Linked DNA regions of Oreochromis niloticus. The protein of the gene in region 2 interacts with the protein of the main gene of each other region in a pairwise test. Links are inferred from orthologs where the notes say so. Each region holds a gene or a part of one and is shown on either strand. Other genes may lie near its edges. The genes, in order: spsb3a and numbl.

Evidence for each region.
Region 1: the proteins of numbl (region 2) and spsb3a interact in binary tests that used the Homo sapiens proteins (3 or more experiments, as listed by UniProt). The two-hybrid records come from large-scale screens. The link is inferred for Oreochromis niloticus from reciprocal best matches to the Homo sapiens genes NUMBL and SPSB3.

What each region holds. Positions count from the first base shown.
Region 1 is NC_031969.2:14,041,244-14,051,480, reverse strand, and holds spsb3a (SPRY domain-containing SOCS box protein 3a), read right to left. Parts: upstream 4,535-10,237; 5' UTR 4,202-4,534; intron 3,468-4,201; 5' UTR 3,381-3,467; coding exon 3,255-3,380; intron 2,973-3,254; coding exon 2,789-2,972; intron 2,706-2,788; coding exon 2,518-2,705; intron 2,420-2,517; coding exon 2,317-2,419; intron 2,227-2,316; coding exon 2,101-2,226; intron 1,528-2,100; coding exon 1,130-1,527; 3' UTR 187-1,129; downstream 1-186. Other genes in the region: atp6v0ca (ATPase H+ transporting V0 subunit ca), read right to left, coding at 7,112-7,316, 8,665-8,848.
Region 2 is NC_031979.2:8,644,599-8,653,992, reverse strand, and holds the start of numbl (numb-like protein), read right to left. Parts: upstream 4,672-9,394; 5' UTR 4,630-4,671; coding exon 4,544-4,629; intron 3,919-4,543; exon of another isoform or gene 3,814-3,918; intron 3,449-3,813; coding exon 3,298-3,448; intron 1-3,297. UniProt on the Homo sapiens protein: Plays a role in the process of neurogenesis. Required throughout embryonic neurogenesis to maintain neural progenitor cells, also called radial glial cells (RGCs), by allowing their daughter cells to choose progenitor over neuronal cell fate.

The DNA.
Region 1 (10,237 bases), on a different chromosome or scaffold from region 2:
GCTCTGGCTCTATTTTCTCTTGCATAAAGTTAAAAGTATAAAAAAATGATATTTTTCGCAAAGAAACTCCGTCTTGTGGTTTTGCGACATGGTGCTGCTTTACGTGCACCCGGATTTGCGACATGCTTTACGGTAACTCAAAACAAAGACTGCACCCTCTCCACTCGCTGTTTACAGACTGCATACTTTCCAGATGACCACAGGTCAGGTGGTATATCGTGATATATATCGTTATGGTGATATAAAATAATTCATATCGTGATAAATATTTTTTCCATATCGCCCAGCACTAGAACAAACAGAGACATACCAAAATAATAGCTTGATGATGAATCTACTGTCTGTTAAAGAAACTTTTAAAACATAAAAAAGTAACAGCAATGAAAATGTTAAAATATCAGCATTAAAAGGCTACACTAAATAATGCACACAGCTTTTTAGACGGAAAAAAAAAAGGCTGGAAGCTAGATGGATGATGTCTCCATGAATGTAACATATAACAGATATTTTTCAAGAAATAACGCTTATCTGATGTGTCGTGAGAGGTGCATGCCTTGCTCAAAGGTTATCGCTCTCTTTTTTAAGGCTAAAAGCTGCAAAGTGCACTCAGGTTCATTTACCGTTAACTTTTAGCATTTAAGGAGCGAACAGTAGTTACATAATATAGAATATCAGCTGATTCTGAGCAACAGAGGAGAAACTTGCAGATGCCACTGATACATGTAACAAAGTCCTCTGATAACTCACTGATAACATTTAAAGTGAGAAAAACATACATTAAATGCAAGATACGCGATGAAAATACAGAAAATTTCTATACAGTATCTGTTTTTTTAACCCTCCCCATTTTGATGACCACCACATCCACCCATAACAAAATAACATGGTATATTTTCACCTTTTACTGAAGCTGGCTTTGATACTCGACATGTGATGAGCATGAAGAATGGCATGACAGAAGATCACAGTTTTCCACCGACGTTTCGCTCCCTCCGCTCGACCGCCCTCGTTACTTTCTCCAGACGCCACTAATAAAGAAAGCTTGAGGCAGTTCAGTAACACTACATCAGATGCCAAAGGACACTAATGTCTGCCAGTGTTTAAGGGGAGGTAGGATCGAGTCGCCCAGTCATGTCCAGCGGCATCTCTTCCTCTGACAGGCCTCTGGATCGGACGAACAACCCTCTGAGTCGCTCTCGGAGGAGGACGGTCCTGCCAAAGCGGGGACCGGCAAACTTGAGGACTGCTCAGCGCCATCTGGGGTTTCTTCCATTGTGCCGCAGTTACCGGTAAGACTGAGCACCCAACCCAGTTTGTTGTGGAGCAAATGACGCAGGCCAGGTGGTAGGGGCAACACATCTAGGATGTCTATACAGTCTGGCACCAGCTGGCGAAGACGAGCACAGCACAGGTACAGCAGGGAGGTGGGTGCAGAGCAGGATCTGATGACCTTCATGCTGCTCTTCGCCGCTGTGGAGCACGCCATTGGATAAAACCTCTTATTCTGCAGCTCTGTAGCAGCAACTCCTGGATCAAGACGGGTGAGAAATCTGTATTATTGAGTTTCAGGAGCACACTGCGGTTCACATTTTTGTAAGATAGCAGAAGGTCTCCACTAAACAGCATCTGTTTCTTATGATTACAAAAACTCCTTCGCCTTTGCATATAGTTGACCTATTAGGGCTGAGTCACACAGGCTTACAAACTGGTCCAAAACACACTGGGAACCTGCAGTTAAAATGGAAAAAGGCTTGTGAACTTATAGTGGTTGCTGGAGGTTGCCACCAGTTGCTAGGTGAAACTGGCTGCAAAGATTGGTCACAAAAAACCTCCTTGTAATTGCTTTGGTTTCTAGCATTTCCAACTTTTTACACTTTCACTACCTCTTGGAGAGTAGTTGGTGAGTTTTTGCAGATAAATCTGCATCTTCTGTGCAAACTACAGACAAAGGAATCAAACTGCTATCAAATAAAGCAAGCGGAAGGATGTTTGTGGTTCCAAGCTGGTTGCTGCTCATTTTGTAGGCCTGTGTGACCAGGGACACATCAGAAATAAATTAGTATTTATGTAATCTAATCAGTAGAAAAACTGTCCACAAACCTATGCACTTTCGATTTTTGAAGAAAGTAAGTGTGCCGTGCCACGTGTCCAGATGAACTCCAATGATGGAACCTTGACCAAAACGTGAGGAGAAGTTCATTTTGTCTCCTTTATGATGCAACAAGCCTGGAAAATGAACAAAACCAATGATGTTTAACATATAAAACCCCTTTTGAGCAACTATCAATACATCAGGGGCACTTGTGTTTAAGTTACCAGTGTAAGAAAGCCCCCAGCTGTCTGCATCTTTTCCCAGCAGGCTGCAGAAGGTATGTCTGTATTTGTCCAGATTGACATCAGATGTACCGATACCAACCATCTGTGCAGAAATAAATAAACATTTAGGCACAAATACACATTTGTTCTGCTTCTAGGACAATTTTTGGTGACTAAGGAAAATAAGAAGTCGAGCTTTACCATATCTGTTCCGTACACTGGGGACGTCATCTTAATTTCCCAGAAGTGCTGCCCGTCTGCGAGCTCCTTGGAGCCACGGATTGCAGCTGTACCACAGCTGTATTCAGAGTGGAAGTTCACTTTGCGATTTTCGCAGCTCAGTAATGTTGCTGTCGATCGGCTGTTGGCATCCCAAACCCAATCAAAATCTAAAACATAACGAGTCATTTATCAAATATTAATGAGCATAACAAAAGATGATGTACTGTGCCCTGCCCCGGCTGTCATGTACCTTGGTCATCCTCTCCACAGTGGCAGTCTTTAACCTGGAGAAAGCCTCGCAGACGAGGGTTGTAGCTGGTCTCTGCCTGGGAATCACAACCGCAGTAGGACTCTCCGGTGACGGGTACTGCGCTGGGGACTGGTGGGACCATCACTGCTGAAAAGTCTCCCTCAGAGTCTGAATCACTTGCGTACTTCGGAGCAACAACAACAAAGAAATAAAAAGAGCAAAATAAACTGTCTGCAGTGTTATTTATGCACAGACTTTGCTGTCAGCCCTCGAAAAATGCTAAATGGAGATGCTGCATTGCAGGAGGCAAACAATGCTTTCCTTCACTATCCTTTCCGCATTGAAACAACTGACCCTCAAGCTTTAAGCATCACACAATGATATTAACAAATGCACACAGCTCATAACGCCCAAATCCAAGTTAGATGCTTTCTGTCTGGTGGGGATCCACATCTTCCTTATTTACCTCAAGGCGATCATAGTTCCATTCTTCACTCTCAGAAGCCAACACAAGGGCCCGGGCATCAGCATCCCTCCGTATGCCTCCCCACACATATCTCCATGCACGACTGTTCCTGCTTCTCCTGGACATGGCAGCAACAGAGTCTCACTGTAGGAAGAACCTGCCAGTCTGCTGAGGTTTAGTCCAGATGTTGGAAGAACGGCATCAGTACAGCAGCTGAATGACAACAATGCAATGTGATTATCACGGGAAAAAACCAACAACAACAAAAACTCACATAAACTGAGCTGCTTTTAGTACTGAACGACAAAGTCGTGCATCTGTCTGCAGACCCCGTGTGACGTATAATGTGTATTATTCATAAATCCTGGCTTGTCTGTATGGCAACATTTCCTACACCACGCATTTATAGTGCTTTATTTTAAATAAATCCTGCAACCCCATCTCTAATCTCATGTTTAATGTATGTTATTTAAGACATTTTAGAAAGCATTTTCAGGGCAGCATTAGCCGTATCCCACTGAAACCTCCCCTCTGTATCGGCTCACGCTTACACATATCACCATATCAACATAGCATAAAGCTAACTTTGTCCACAAATCAATTATATCACAAGTAAAAATTATTACCCCCTTGATTAGGTAGGAAACTACTTTTCACAAATAGCATTTTTTAAAACTAACACAAACGGCTAAAGCTAGCTACCTGGCTAGCCAGCAGAGCCGCGTATGTATCAACATGTTAGCTGGTAATAACAAGGTCAGAAGCATTTTACTGGTGATTATTGATACGTATTTACATTGCAACACGGTAAATACATCTAAGGCACGTAAGGTCGCAATTTATCTGATGACATGCATCAAGAAACCTATTTTAGGCTAGCTATTTAGCTTTCGTTAGCTACCCGCTGCTAGCATTGCTGAAAAATAAAAGCGAGACGTTCTTATTACCTGTTTGTTGGTCACATTCAGTTTCTACATAAAAACCGCTAAACCCGCAAAGACGTCGTCCCTTGAGTGTCCTGTATTACAAGATACTTCAGGCAAGACAGCTCGCCGGGCTTCTGTTTTCCATGACCTACTTTTCATGAGTGCGACCGTAAACAATAACAGGCAGACTGAGGAGGAGCTGCGGCGCAGGAAGTTTTCTGCACTCATCACAGACTCCTGTCATCATCTCAGCAGCCAGCAGTGACTGAACCTGTTATACTCAGCCGTAAAAACAAGTATCCCCTGCGGTGGAGAACCTTTAAGGCATTAACATGGTAAAATACCGAAAATTTTGCTATCGATCCGATACGAAGTAAATAGCAGGCCACTATTGCCGATACCAATAACGATACCGATACTTTTAAGCTATAAAGCCAGCTGATGGTGAGAACATTATGTCATGATTTATGAGATGAATTATCATTAATTTGCTAATTTTGAACAATAAATCACTGTTATTTTTTACTTTCCACAACTTACTTACTTATTTGACACAACAAAAACACACCTTTCAGGTTTTCATATATTTTGAAACTGGGTTTTTTTGGAGAGCCAGAGTTTAAATGTGCCTGCTTAAAGGACTCTGGGTCAGCTTCTGTTAATGGAGTTTATAGGTTATAAATGAAATAGACATGACACTCAATACAAAAAGGCCCTGACATTTTTCATGGTGCATGTTTGAGGTGTGTGCTACATACTGAACTTAGAGGATAGAAACAAACTATTGATCTAATCCGCTAGTATCGATCCAATACCAATTCCAGTGTTGGTATTGATACAGTCAATATTAGGATCACTATTTATTCTTGGACTTCACTAAATTAGTGTTGCATGATAGAAGTTGAAAATAATCCTTATTTATTTAATGTTGGGTTTCAGTTCAGCTGCTAAGCTAATCCACCGTTCCAGCTTCCTTTAAGCTTGCTTTCTTCTTATTGGCTGCCCCTCATAAACACAAGGTTTGCAGAGTAGGTGAGTGGGGCTATATTCAAGAATACTGTTCCTGACATCACACAGAGCCAAGGGTATAAAATTATCGGAAACTGAGTGGTTAAGTCAGCCTCACACCCTAGTTTTTGCAGAAACACAGCCTCAATGGACACTTTATTAGAAACCCCCTTTCACCTGCAGAACAGACTCAATTCTTCATGGCATAGACTTTGTCAACAGTCCTCCATATATCCCATATTGACTTGACAATGTCACAGAGTTGTTTGCAGATTTGTTGGCTGCACATCCATGATGTGAATCTTCTATTCCACCACATCCCAAAAGTGCTCTATATGATTGAGGTGACTGTGGAGTTCATTTGAGTATAATTAATTCAGTATCTTGTTTGAAAAAAACAAAACAGTTTCTGATGATTTGAGCTTTGTGACATAACATCCTGCTGGAGTCAGAAGATGGGTACACGGTGGTCATGCAGGGATGAATCTGGCCAGCAACAGTGCTCAGGTAGGCGTTTTACATGATGTTCAGTTGGTACTGAAAGACCTAAAGTGTGCCAATAAAATATCGCCCACACCATTACACCACCACCAGCAGCCTGAATTGTTGATACAATGCCGGATGGATCTGCTTTCATGTTATTTATGCCAAATTCTGATATCACCATCTGAATGTCAAGACTCACGAAACCAGGTAATGTTTTTAACCAGACAGCTGCCGGCCATTCTCTGTCAAGACTAAAAGTAAATAAATAAAGTTTCTGCAGTATTCAGATTTTATGAGAACTTGTAGATGAAACTTTTTTGGGGTCAGGACTGTTCATTTAACCTGTTTGGAAGACTTTCAATCCATGAACTTATGGGTTTAAAATACCCAACATATTGGCCAGATATCTGCTGTCTGCTTTCCTTTTGCAGTGTTTGGTTATTTCATTAACAGATATACTTTAAAAATAAATACTGGACAGTGAGATTCTGGAGGAGGTTGAGTTTTATTTGGAAATCTGACAGGCATGGCTGAACAGTGAGCTCTCACCTTCAACAAAATAAAACAAACAAATCAAGACAGCAGCACTACAGGTAAACGATACAAGTGTCTGAGGAGGTCATATTAAACATAAATCCACTTGCATACATTATGCACTCAGATCATTCACGCACACACACTGTCAACTCCATATGAACATGTGGACATCCTCCATTAATATTCACACTACATCCAGAGGAATTCCAAGCACTTATAACAATTACCCACAGTGCAATTAATCTAACTATACACAGATAATTTATATATTTTTTATGTATATAGGGTATTCAATAAACAGTACTCCATTTAGATAGCTTCAAAATCTTTATAGCTGTCCATAAATAGTGAAAAAAAAAGTTTCAAAAATGGTCCCAGAAAAGAACATGAAAAAAATAAAATACTAGTGTTCACGATATCTTCAGCAGTCTTAAACAGAGGTTGACAATATAAACCACCAACAAAAAACAAACAAACAAATAAATAAATAAATAAATACATAAATAAACCAAAGGAGGGGAATGGGCAGAGGGGGGTAAACGTTGATACTCACACTCACAGCACAGACTGGTTACTACATTTACTGGGGGGCAGGGGGGCTCTGGATCACTGTACAGTTTAAGATCAGACAATAAATCAGGCAGACTGTCCACACATCATCCCACAACACACAGTACATGTTCATGCCCGTTCTGTACGCACAAGACCTGACACAACTGGATGGCTTTCAACAATATGGATAGACACCTATCTGAGGACAGAGCTGTCAAAGTCGAATGTGTTTCTGTCGCCATCCCGTCCTGTCAGACCCACCGGGTGTAATGGAAGTAGGTGAAAATCTCCTATTTGTTCTTGCTGCTCTGATGTGGAATGAATGAGATGGTGGCATGATGGAGACACTTATTTTGTAGATAGGATGAGGGCCACGATGAGGCCGTAAAGACCCAGCACCTCGGCGAAGATCAGGATCAGGATCATGCCCACGAACAGCCGAGGCTGCTGAGCGGTCCCTCTCACGCCGGCGTCACCCACGATGCCGATGGCGAACCCGGCCGCCAGGCCGCTCAGGCCCACGCTCAGACCGGCACCGAGATGCAGGAAACTCCTGTTGAAGAGAAGCAGTAGAAAATACTTTTGTGAAGTTGGGAGCATTCACAGCCTGGTTCTGCCACAGGTTTCTTCCTGTTAAAAGAGAATTTTTCCCCTTCCCTCTGTTGCCCAGTGCTTGCTCATGGCAGTTGTTTGATTGTTGGGGTTTTCTCTGTATTATTGTAGGGTCTTCACCTTAGAATATAAAGGGCCTTGAGGCGACCGTTTTGTGATTTGGTGCTATAGAATTGAACTGAAATATCTTTTTCGTCCATAGGTTGGAAATACTCTGTGAGTTTTATATGTAGCATCAAATTGTGCACTGAAACGTCCTCATCTAGTGTGAGCATGTGTTGTGTTAAGTGTGTGTGAGCACAAAATTTTGTTTACAAAACTGTGGCGTGCTATGTTCGCTCCTCTCTCTTGTTCCTCCTTCTAAACTTGCATGAAAAAATAGGAAGCAGTGTGCAGAGATCAGCAGTTTCACTCTACATGTTTGTGTTGTTGTATTTACTGCTTTTCAGCAATTCTATCCAAAAGGTCTGAATAAAAGTGCTGAATTCTGAAAAGAACAAGCCCAGTTTCAAATCTGCAATCTCTTTATGCATTATTAATAATAACTGGACTAGATCAAATTGCTCAAGTCTTTACAGAAAGTGGCATGTTAAGGACTCGCCTAGTGGTTAATATGCATGCCCACAGTTTTTAAAAACAACCGGAACAAATAAAATTCAACCCTGGCTGGTCTCCCCAGAGAAACGTGCTCATCAGGGCTGCTACATAAATAATGTCAGAAGACCATTTAAAGTGCTTTCATACAGCAAAGTGAACACCTGTTTACGAGCATGGCGCTGTGTTTACAGTGAAATAGTACACCTTGACAGCACAACGCTAGTTTGGTTTTCCTGCCCACAAACACTGTGCTGTTGGGTCTCAGCTATATCACAAAACTGCCACCGGGAAACAATTCATGTTAACTGACTGAGACCCGCCCAGCAAAACAACGAAGAGCCAGATGAAACAAGTGGACCATGAAGGAGGTTAAACAGTAAGCTCAGGTCCAACAGGTTTATTTCTTTAAGGAGATGGCAGAGATTATAATAGAGCTCAAAGGCCAGAGATGATTGCTCTTTTTAAAATGTTGCTATAATCTGATCATTTTTAGCCTGTTTGTGAGCTTAAATCTTTGTTTTTGCGTTGCTTAAAATTAAGTTGTGTATGTAAACAGTAACTATAGAAACCCGACTCAACATAATCTTGAATAACACGTCAGACACAGACAATGAAATTGAGATTGCAATTTTACTGTAACATCACTATATGACAAACAAACAAAGGTCCTTTGTATGAGAAGTTTATCTTACTTGTAAAGAGAGACTCTCTCAGATATGTTGTTTGCTATCAGCACAGCCACCACCAGCCCGTAGATGGCGATGATACCTGCCATGACCACAGGGATGATGGACTTCATGATGAGCTCTGGCCGCATCACAGACATGGCAGCGATGCCTGTGCCGCTCTTTGCCGTCCCATATGCTGCTCCTAACGCTGAGAAAGAGAAATGATAAATCTGCGTTAATGAAGCAAAGCTCAGAGTTTTATCTTCTGAGGCAAGATGCTGAAAGACAGGATGAGAAATTCGACTGCCAGTTCTTTCTTGCATTTCACCTACATTTTAGCTTTCCTCACAAACCATCTCGGAAAAATTGCATGAAAAATGTTATAAGTTGTTAGACTGTGAAGTCTCGCTACGCAACGCAACACCGCCCACTTGAGTACTTTATATGACTCTTTTCATGACTAATAATGCCACCGATGGGCGCTCGTCCAGCAATTTTTCCCTCCGCTCTGCTGTCACCTCACATTTCACTGATGCCCGCTTGGCTCGTCACACTGCCATGAATGCTGCACATACCAAAATATTACAGTTTATACGTCCACAACAACTCTGCAATAAACCCAGGCATTTGCAGGAATCTCAACCTGTTATTTTATCTGCATTTCCTCCTGCTGTTGATCACAAACTGCCTCTGCTTCTTTATCACTGTCTCCTATTTGCATGCGATTTCATTTGTTTTGCATTAGAAAACCCTCTGTGTTCACAGTAAATGTGTACTGTGCAAATGAAGATCAGAAAAGTGAGCAGCATCATCTAAAAATTATGCTTACTTGTGATGATTGAGAAGTGATGAATGGGCTGTAACTAGTGACAGAGCTGTACTGTATTTCAGTAGGTTGTATCTTTAAACTAAAGGGGATTCATGTGTATATTTATACTGTGCTCAGTATGATTTTTACAATCCCATCACATGCACTTAAACAGCTGCATGAACATTATTATTAAATACAGAGTGGATCACTTGCAGGTCAGCCCCTCTGATCAGAAGAAGGCAGAGGTTCTGCCACCGAGCGGTGGCGTTCACATTGTAAATGTCTTTGATGCAGAGCATTCAGGCGCTATTCTTCAACACCTGGAGAGCGCAGATCGGTGCCAGGCGATTCCTCATCATTACATGTGACTTTGCTGGCTGCGAGCAGAGAGCAGCTGTGAACACGGCATGTTTGCAAAGAAGGCTCACTCACTGGGGTGGATGAATAAATAATAATGGTACAATAACACACAGCTTTCCTCACTTCCCACTTGCTTGGCTGTGCAGTCACATTTACAGGCAATGGACTTCTCTGTAGTCTGGGAGTCTGGAATAGTTGTTATTAGTCTGCATTTTGTGCAACTTTTCAAACCATAAGGGTCCAAAAGCTAAAATATTCACACGCCTTTCGCAGTGAGAAGTGTTGGCTATGACGAGGGTGTTCAGCTACACAGGCGAACCATTTTCTTAAAAGTAACATCGGGGCTTCGGTTTCATTAAATGGTTAATGTCTATAAATCATGGACTGGATAAACGGAGAATAATCATACATCTCAAGTTGGCCAGT
Region 2 (9,394 bases):
CAGTTGAGGTCATAAAGCGAGACTAAATCTATAATTTAGGTAGGAGCGATGTGATAACGTATGGCCTCAAAAGTACTTAAAAGCTTAAAATCAATTCGATATTTAACATGTAGCCAGTGAAATATATAAGTCCCCTTAAGACAAAAAAATAAAACATTTGCAAATTTGCAATTTGTAAAATAAAACAAAGTTAATACTCAGATTGTGAGCTTACTTTAATATCCACCCCTGATGTTGGAGGATGGACTTCCAAGGTTTTTGTTTTTAGTTACAGCTCAGGTTTGAGAGAGCTGAATAAAGAACTTCACAGAGATAAATTGAGTTTTGTGGGATCGATTATTTAACATCTGTCACACCCCATCAATATTTTGCTTCATTCTTATCGAATTTCAACTCACCTTTGTCCATAAAAGGATAATTAGCAACTGTGATGTTATGTAGGCAACTCTACGTTACATTTGAATATATAGCACTGAGTTTCAGCTACTTGGTTTTTGTTGTTTTTGACTGCTATTTAAGTCACTTAAAAGGTGTGAGAAGAACGAACTGAAAGAAAATATGCCAAGAAGGCAGGTTGCAAAGTGGCTTGTAGAGAAAGCAGCAAGGGTATGTATGTTAAAATAGCTTATAAGGAGTGCCTTCTATGGGACTTTCAAAAAGACAAAAGCAAACAATAAATTGAAGCATCAGCTGATGTGGGCTGGCTTAAAATCAGCAATTGTTATTAGGACTATGGTTTAGGCAGGTATCAGGAATTAGAGCAGGTCATCCACTAACTGGAAGGTTGGTGGTTTGATCCCTGTCTGCATGCCAAAGTATCCTTGGGCAAAATGCTGAACCTCAAATTACTCTCAGATGCATTCACTGGAGTATGAATGTGTGATTGTTATATAGAAAGCACTTATATATTAAATAAAGTGGGTGAATGAGACATGTTGTATAAAGCACTTTGAGTATTCCAGTAGAGTAGAAAAGTGTGATATGGAACCAGTCCATGTACCATTTACTATGAGCTGAGCTACATTTTGTGACTTGCCTGAACAAATACTCTGACTATTTTGTGATAGTAAACAACAGAAATTACATTAGTGCCACTGCTACCTATAAAAGAGGGGTGTCTGCCCTCTTTTTAAAATTTCAAACAGGCTAACATTGTTAATGTCACAATGGCTGAGCTAACATAGTTTGGTCTGCCTTACACTATCACAGTTGGCAGCTGTTATTTTACCTTGCTAGCTTGCTAACTGGATATATTACCAAAATAAGACGTGTTGTTAAAAAACATAAAAATGATGACCATTACACACAAATTGAAGTCAAAACATAAGTAAGGCCATCTAGAGCTTCATATGCTCTATAACCAAAGTATGAGAGGCACCAGGCAAATCTTCCAATGGGCCATTTTATCCCACATTCTTTAGTTTGTAAAAAAAACAACTTTTCTTTGAGCAGTGAGCTGAGCTGACACGTTTTCTTTTGGTAGCAACAGTTCAAATGCTTTTGAAAAGGCATTAATAGTTCGTGACTCATTTAGAAACTAAAAACACTGAGAAAGCACTGAAAAAGAAAAGATGGTTGAGCGAGCATGGAGGTAAAAACAACATATAAAGAGACAGAGGTTTTTGTGCTTACATCTCTTGCTAAAGCTCTGAGCTCCACTTCAGTGCCCATCTCATCGCTAGCTCTCTGGACCATTACCATCAGGACCGTTTTCCATTAGCCTCAGCCCCACACGATGCCTTTTCTTATACTCTCAGCTTTCTTTGTTGCCTTTATCTTTTTGCTTTGTATTTCTCTCCTGGTCCATTCAGTCTGCGGTCTTTCTTTCCTTTCACTTATCTTATCTGGTTCTATCTATCTCTCATTTCAAATCTGAAAATGTCTCTCCTTACCCTCTGTGCGCCCTCATCCCTCACCTTGTCATTTCCTGTGCTCTCTGTAATCTATAACCTTACCTCATCGTCACTCCTCTTTCTCTGGCTTCCATCTCCCTCCTTCATTCTCTCTCCAGCTCTTCTACAAATCACTTTAGCTCTCAAGGATGGCCATACAGTACATGCTCAGAACGGAGCTTGTTATCAGTAAATTGGTCCGTTAATGGCGGCCCTTTTTTTGCATTTATGGCATGGGAGGCATTCAGCTACTGAGGTAGAATATGGATCAGTGCTTTACTATTGACGGTTCTTATAAAGATCAAAGGTCAGAGCCAAACTATCCTGAAATGTATCACAAAGCCTAACCATAGGCATTACATTAAAAAGTATATTTGCTTTCTTTAGGTACTGTAATATTATGAACAAATAGAAATAATAAGATTTATGCTGTTTTTATTAGTGCTGTCAGTGTTAATCTCATTAATCTCGTGCGTGAGGCTACACGGCGTCAATGCATTAGCGCCATCCAGCCCCACGCACGGGGTGATCCGCGTCAACTCTCTAACAGAGATTTGTCGCGTTAATGTGATTATGGCGTTAATATCATTTTAACGAGATTAACACTGACAGCACTTTTGTCAGTTTTTATATATATATACATATATATGTGTGTGTATATACATATACATATACATATATATATATATATATATATATATATACACACACACACACACACACACATTTTATTCAGATAATATTCAGACTTCAAGAAAGCTGGTGGCAGCAAACAACTAGCTTAGCTTTGCATAAAAACTAACAGACCGTACTGCTAAGATAAAGTGATAATTACGTGAGAATCTTGTGCACCCTTTATTGCTGAATGTATTTATACAGCACTGACTTCACTTATTAATAAGGGCCAGTCTCTGGGGTTTAAAAACGAAGCAAAGGCAGAATGCAATTCATTAAATAGCCACTTGAGGCTGGCTCCAAAAGTTAGTTAATCCCTAAAGACTCCAAAAAGCCCAACATTATAACAGAGATAAACATGTTTGCAACTTTACTTTTTTAGATAATTTCCCACCCTGCGATATCTTTGTGAGAGTGAATATAAGTTTCAAATGTGCTGAAAATATTTAGGACATGGATGATATGACTGGCATATTAGGTGCCATCTTGTCTGGTTCAGCATTCAGTTTGTGTAAAAATATGCTTTTGATAAAGCTATTTTAGTTGAGGCTCGCTCTGAGCAGCTCCTCTAGCCAGCATCACTGTTAGCACATAAGATCTTGCCTAAATATTATCTCATAGTCTTAACTCATTTGCTTTTTCATACTTAACATTAAAATAAATGAAGAAAGAAATAAAAAAAGAAATGAATCAGGCTTAGATTAACCGAATAACGACTGTAGATACTTACCCGAACAGCAAAGTTACATTTGCCCTTGCGTACAGCCTCCTCGTCAGCCTGCCATTGATGCGGTCTGCTGGCCTCTGGCACATAGGTGGGCTTCTTCCTCCTCAGGCTCTGACGAAGCTTGTTCATCTCCGGGGTCACGTGCTCCCTGGTACTGCAGACACAGAAAGGGATGTAAGTTTAGTTGCAGAGCACTGGAAGGCCATAGAGTATCTCTGTACTCAACAAAGGAAAAATGACAACCACCTGAGTCTCATTACCGCAAGCACAGAACAATAAAAGAATTTTTAAAAACACATTCATGTAATAGCAATTAAATAGTCAGGCACATTAAAAAATGTTTAAATGCAACAGTGCCAAACTATAATTGAATGAAATGCCACTTGAGACAAACCACAGTCCTGTATTTCATATGGTATTATGAGAGAAGTGGGAAGGATTTCATTGATTGGCTGGAGCTCATTAAGCTATAATCATTTCTAACAAGGCAGTCAGTACATCAGTGCCACAAACACTTTCCATCATAATGCTCCATTGATTCTCCATTCAGACGCAGGCTGTACAAATCACACAGGTAGAACATTAATGAACACAAAAGCATCGGGCACGCTTTCATCTCTCGAAGAAACATCAAGAATGCTGAGCGCATGCTAATCAGCACACACATGTGTGCACTCCACTCCTCCTGTGAACAATCCTCCCTCCGCTCCCTAATTAGACCATTCAGCCCGCTGGCCTGTTTAGCGCGTGCTAATTTCCCAGCATAATGAAACATGATGCCATCAAAACATGACCTGCTTTAAAAAAATAATTACTGTTTTCATTCCTCCACACTCACATCCCAGCTTCAACAGGAGATCTGAAGTACAATAAAAACACCTCTTTCCTCATTTGCGTCCTTTCTCTTTATTGACTCTAAATTAACTGCATCATCAGCTTCCTTGTTGTCCAAGTCAAAAGTTTCAAATTGGACTAAGCAGTGAGTCTATTCTGCTTTTCTTGTCCTCAATCTCTGAACACAACTGGTCTCTCTTCTCTACACAGTATAAGGGATCTGATTAGTGATACACGAGCAAGGCCCAGTTTGTAAATCCGCAATATCAAACCAGGAAGAGTGCTAGAAAAAAAAGGCTTGCATAAAATTATTATTATAAGATCACAATATATTAGAAATGCTTATCTCGTGTCGTATTCTTCCATATATCTTGAGTTAATAAGAGTAAAGAGCGATCTTGTTTTATTCGCTTACCATCTGGATGATCCATAAATCGGCATTCCAGCTTTTACAGGGTAAGAGAGCACATTAATCTTACACTGAAGACATACGATGTCCATATGTAAAGTGGTGATCTCAACACTGAAGGGCAGAACGCTTCTCTCGGCTCTGCCACCACGGGGCCAAATTTATACTGAATATATAGTCGGACACGTCACTTCTCATAATTGCTGCTACCCTGATGGTAATGCTGCCAAAGACTGGTGTACCGGAAGCGTGTGTGCAATTCTTGTGCACCACACACACTCCCTGTGTAATGCAGAGTATTCAAATGCAACAGCTCAAGTGGCTTTACTCATGTCTAGCATGTGAGGCATGTGTCATCTGCCAAGAGTAGATGCTCATACACACACACAGACAAAACATACCCACAAGCCCCTCTGCAGCTTTTCACACATGTCGAGGTTTGTGCCGCTCATATCTGGGAAAAGTGCCAGCTGACTGGCACCTGGCACGCCCCCAGCACTGCTGCAGCAGGTGTGAACGGGCGTGAGCGAAAGGGTTACAGCAGAGTTTTACATAACGCCTCACAGCAGAGGTAGAAGGGGGCTGGGGTGGCTTAACTCATGCCTGGCATGAGTAAACGGACCCTGTAAATTAACAGACCCAGTAAAGGAAGTACTGGGTAAGGAATACAGGACACCCTCATATGGTCTAGGACAGCGGGGGAGGAGTAGTGAGCAAATGGCACTGGCATCCAATGGCAAACCACATCGGAGAGACGCAGAAATTAAACAATGTGGACTAAGGATACTGGGACAAGTTTGAGAAAAAGGGAGGAATGAAGTACTGAGGTGAGAGAATTGGTGTTATAATACACTAAATGATCCTGTTCATCATCCATCGTCTAGTCTTAATAAAAAGGGAACTGTGTGGGAGTAGAGTAGCTTAACAGATTCACAGGTCAGTACACTACAAGCACGAGGGCAGAAAGTCAGACAGAGCAACATCCAGCAATAATGCAGATTTTTTTTTATTTATTAGTAAATACATTTTTTTAAAAACCCAACTGCTCATCCAATGGTAAGCATGGTATCTCCTCAGTTTTATTAATTATAAAAATGAATTGCATATTTGAGAACCTAAACATGATCGATAACTCTTGAAATTTTGCTTGTGTTAGGTCGGGTGTCAATGTACTTATTTTATGGGTCCCTTTAAAATTGCAACCATATATACGAATTTAACACATATATAAAATTTGGTAGACGTGTCATTGAGACACAAAAAATTCCTCTTGGATCCACGCCCTGAACCCTGAAGGAAGTTCTCCATTTTGAATTTCTACATGAAATTTTCATCAGCGGTTTCACTATTTTATACAGCAGCATCACATATAATGAGTGGATGTTTCTTATTCTGGATTCAAGAGAAGTTCAGTCCACACAGCTGCAATAATTTTAGCTGGGCCTTGGTCTCCCACTATTGTTTTCTCTAGTGTAACTTTAGCGTTGTAATTATTTATTGGAAAGATAATATTCATTGGTATCAGTTTTCTCATCTAAGTCAAAGCACTAAATGAACTCATCCAGGCTACAATGAAAATACAGGTGAACGCAGGTTGATGGGCTTTCTCATGATGTGCACCGTGGCGTGAAATGAACAAAACTATCTGGTAGTAAACACTTAATGATAGAGAGACACATTAGGGCGGTGAAACTGCCAAACACTGAAATGGTGAAGTCGTTGCATAGCTGTGACCTAGCCCTGCAAAACTAGAACCATCTGCAGTGAGGGGGGGAAAAAAAGATGAGAGCCAGACAGAGGGGGTGGGTTGGCAAGCATCAAAATAAATCTATAAATCAATGGCACAAATTAAATCCCACTCCCTTTATGAACCCACGCAAAACTCGTAAGCACTTCAGTGTAGCCTACACAAACAAGAGGCCCGGTGCCAAAAAAGCACATATTTGTTCCCAGTTTAGTGTTTGAGTTTGCAGCCATCTGGAATGTATTGTTGGGGAGATGGCAAGCAGGACAACTTACGGTCATATGATGTTATGTCGTAGAAATTTCTTTCACCCGAGCCGACCTCCTACTCTGGTCCTCCCTATTCCTTCTTCTTAACTGTTACTTACACTGCAGATCTCTTGTTCAAAAAAGATGCGGAGACGGGCGCAAAAACGAGCCCGAAGCTAAACGTCTGCAGCTCTGCCGATGCGAATGTGAGGAAATAGGTTTCACAGGGCTGACTTTAGTGTGAAGAGCTAGCTTACGCGTACAGACTAATAAAATGTGGTGAAAAGAATTTTTACATCTTGCTCCGGCTTAAGTTGGTATTTTAACTGTGAGATGGTTGGTGGTTATTAACAGCATGTGTGCATGGGATTTACTATAATTATCAGTAATAACAGCACATTCCCGAATATATGTATATTACAAATGTCAGATGTCTTGTATTTGTCTCACCTCTGTATTAACAACACATGATCTGTGTTAAGACTGCTTGTGCGTCCAGCTGCGTTTTGTGTCTGCCAGATGTGACTCTGATTGATTTCTTTGGCACAATGCCTCTCTTTCACACACACACACACACACACACACGCACACACACACACAAACACACACACGTACGCAACGTCCCTCCCTGATCCAGATGTTCTGTGTTCAACATCGGCCCAGAGATTTTGGCAAAATGGGACATACTCCTCCCTCACACATCTCCTCAACCAGATGCTTAAGAAAAACACAGCTCAAACAAGAAGGGGAGTAGGGGTGAGAGCGGTGATGTTACCACACACACACACACACACACACAATGACTCACTGCCACCTCGTATTACGGAAAGCCATATGTGTGTGGAGCTCCAAAGAAACTAGGAATGGACATAAAGAGGTGGAGCAAGTCTCCAGTGTGTGTGTGTTTAAGCGTGTTTATCTTTGTGAGTGCAGTAACAGAGTATTGCCTTGGCTTAGTCATCATAGTGCTGACCACTTTATGTGGACACACTGTACCTCTCTGTGTTGCCCACTCTACTAAAGTCCGGCTGTGGCTCTTTGGCTGTGCAAATAAGACGCTGAGGTGTTTCGCTAAAGCTGCGAGTATGACTCACAGCAACTTTTAAGTCATAGTGGAGTGGGAAAGTATCAAAGGTCTCTATTACCACAGCAGCATGCAGGAGCGAGAGTGTATTATACTCTGAAAAGATCCACAGTGGGTTAACAAATTACAACACATACATTACTGGTCCTAAACTCAGTAATCGCATTGTAATTGCTAACAGCCGTGTTACATAAGTTCAAAATGATCTGCATAATGGTTGGATTAATAACTCTTTAAACTTGCTTTTTTTCAGCACGGCTAACAAAACATGAACATTACCTAAGATTTTTTAGCCTAAACACAGATGTGTGCTTACAAAGTTCAGCTCATGCATGTCATCATATTGGCTCAGTCACACTAGGAGTAAAAATAGGACAGCAACCTCCTTGCAATTAGGAAAACTCTCACCGTTTTGTGCGTCTCACTGGTGATTGCAGTACAATTTTTGGGGACAGATTCACAAGTAGTTGGAGTGACAGACCGGTTCACCAAGAAAATGACCATGTTCTATTTGAACTCCATCTTATCGCTGTTTGATATCACAAGTGCATTGCACATGTTTGTAATAATTTCGTTTTCCAAAGTGTGACTGCAGCATAATTAGCATAGCGTTTGTGCATTATGCGGGCACTCTCAAGCTTAAGAGCTTAGAATATTTTCCTGACTTCACAATTCCCTTCAATGTTAAAGAGTATAAAGTGTAATAAGTGCAGATACAATCCCACAGCTGAAGTCCTACATATTTACCTTTGAAGAGGAATTTCTCTGCTAAGAAATTGTAATATGGTGGTGTTGGGTTGGCAGCCAGCTTTTCTGCTCCAAACCAAAACAATGAAATCATACAAATTACATGTAAAATGAAATAACAGAATTTATTGAGCACTCAGTCTCATAAATACATGTATTGCCTACATGTGGAAACTTTATGCATATTACTGGCTATTGAACTAATAAAGGCACCAAAAACCAAAAAGAAATATTTCATTCAAACCTTTCCATCATTTTAGAAGTGCTGTAAGAAACTATGCAAACATTACCCTAATAGGTAATGTTTGCATAAATCAACAAACACATTGGATGCAGGCACATTATGCTGACACGACGCGCACACACGCAGTAAAAACTGACCCAGTTTGTGGTCCCTGCAGACTTCACACACTGACACTGACACTGAGTGACCCACATAGAGACACTGACACATACTACCATTACTATTATCCCCAAGTATGTCTCTCTTTTTCTCATACTCCCTGAAAGTGACAGGTGGTGTGTGTGTGTGTGTGTGTGTGTGTGTGTGTGTGTGTGTGTGTGTGATTAAAATATAAAGGAGCGTGAGGCAGCGGACATAAACCAGGGCACTTGTGTTTAGACTGAAGTTTGTCCCAGGACAGGATGCAGTGCAGTGTTTTATTAATCTAAGTAGGACTATGTATGTTTATGAGGGAGAAAGATACAGATACGGAGAGTGTGTTTTGTGCGTCTCTAAGCCTTTGTTACTTCCTGGAAACAGCTCCCTCCCTGCAGGATTTCTGTCAGATGGAGCAAACAATCTCCAATAGTTTACTGCTTTGTAATACTTTGAATTCCTGTAAGTTCACATGTACAAAAATACCATTCTCTGTGCTAAACTGGGTGTCAACCTAGTTTAGCACAGAGAATGTAGCAGTAAAGTACTTGAACTTACTCTTATAGCCAATATTTCATTCTTACTGTGAACTGCAACAAGATATTAGCTATCTGGGGAAATTCCTGTATTCCTTGCACCACAGACCTATAACAAT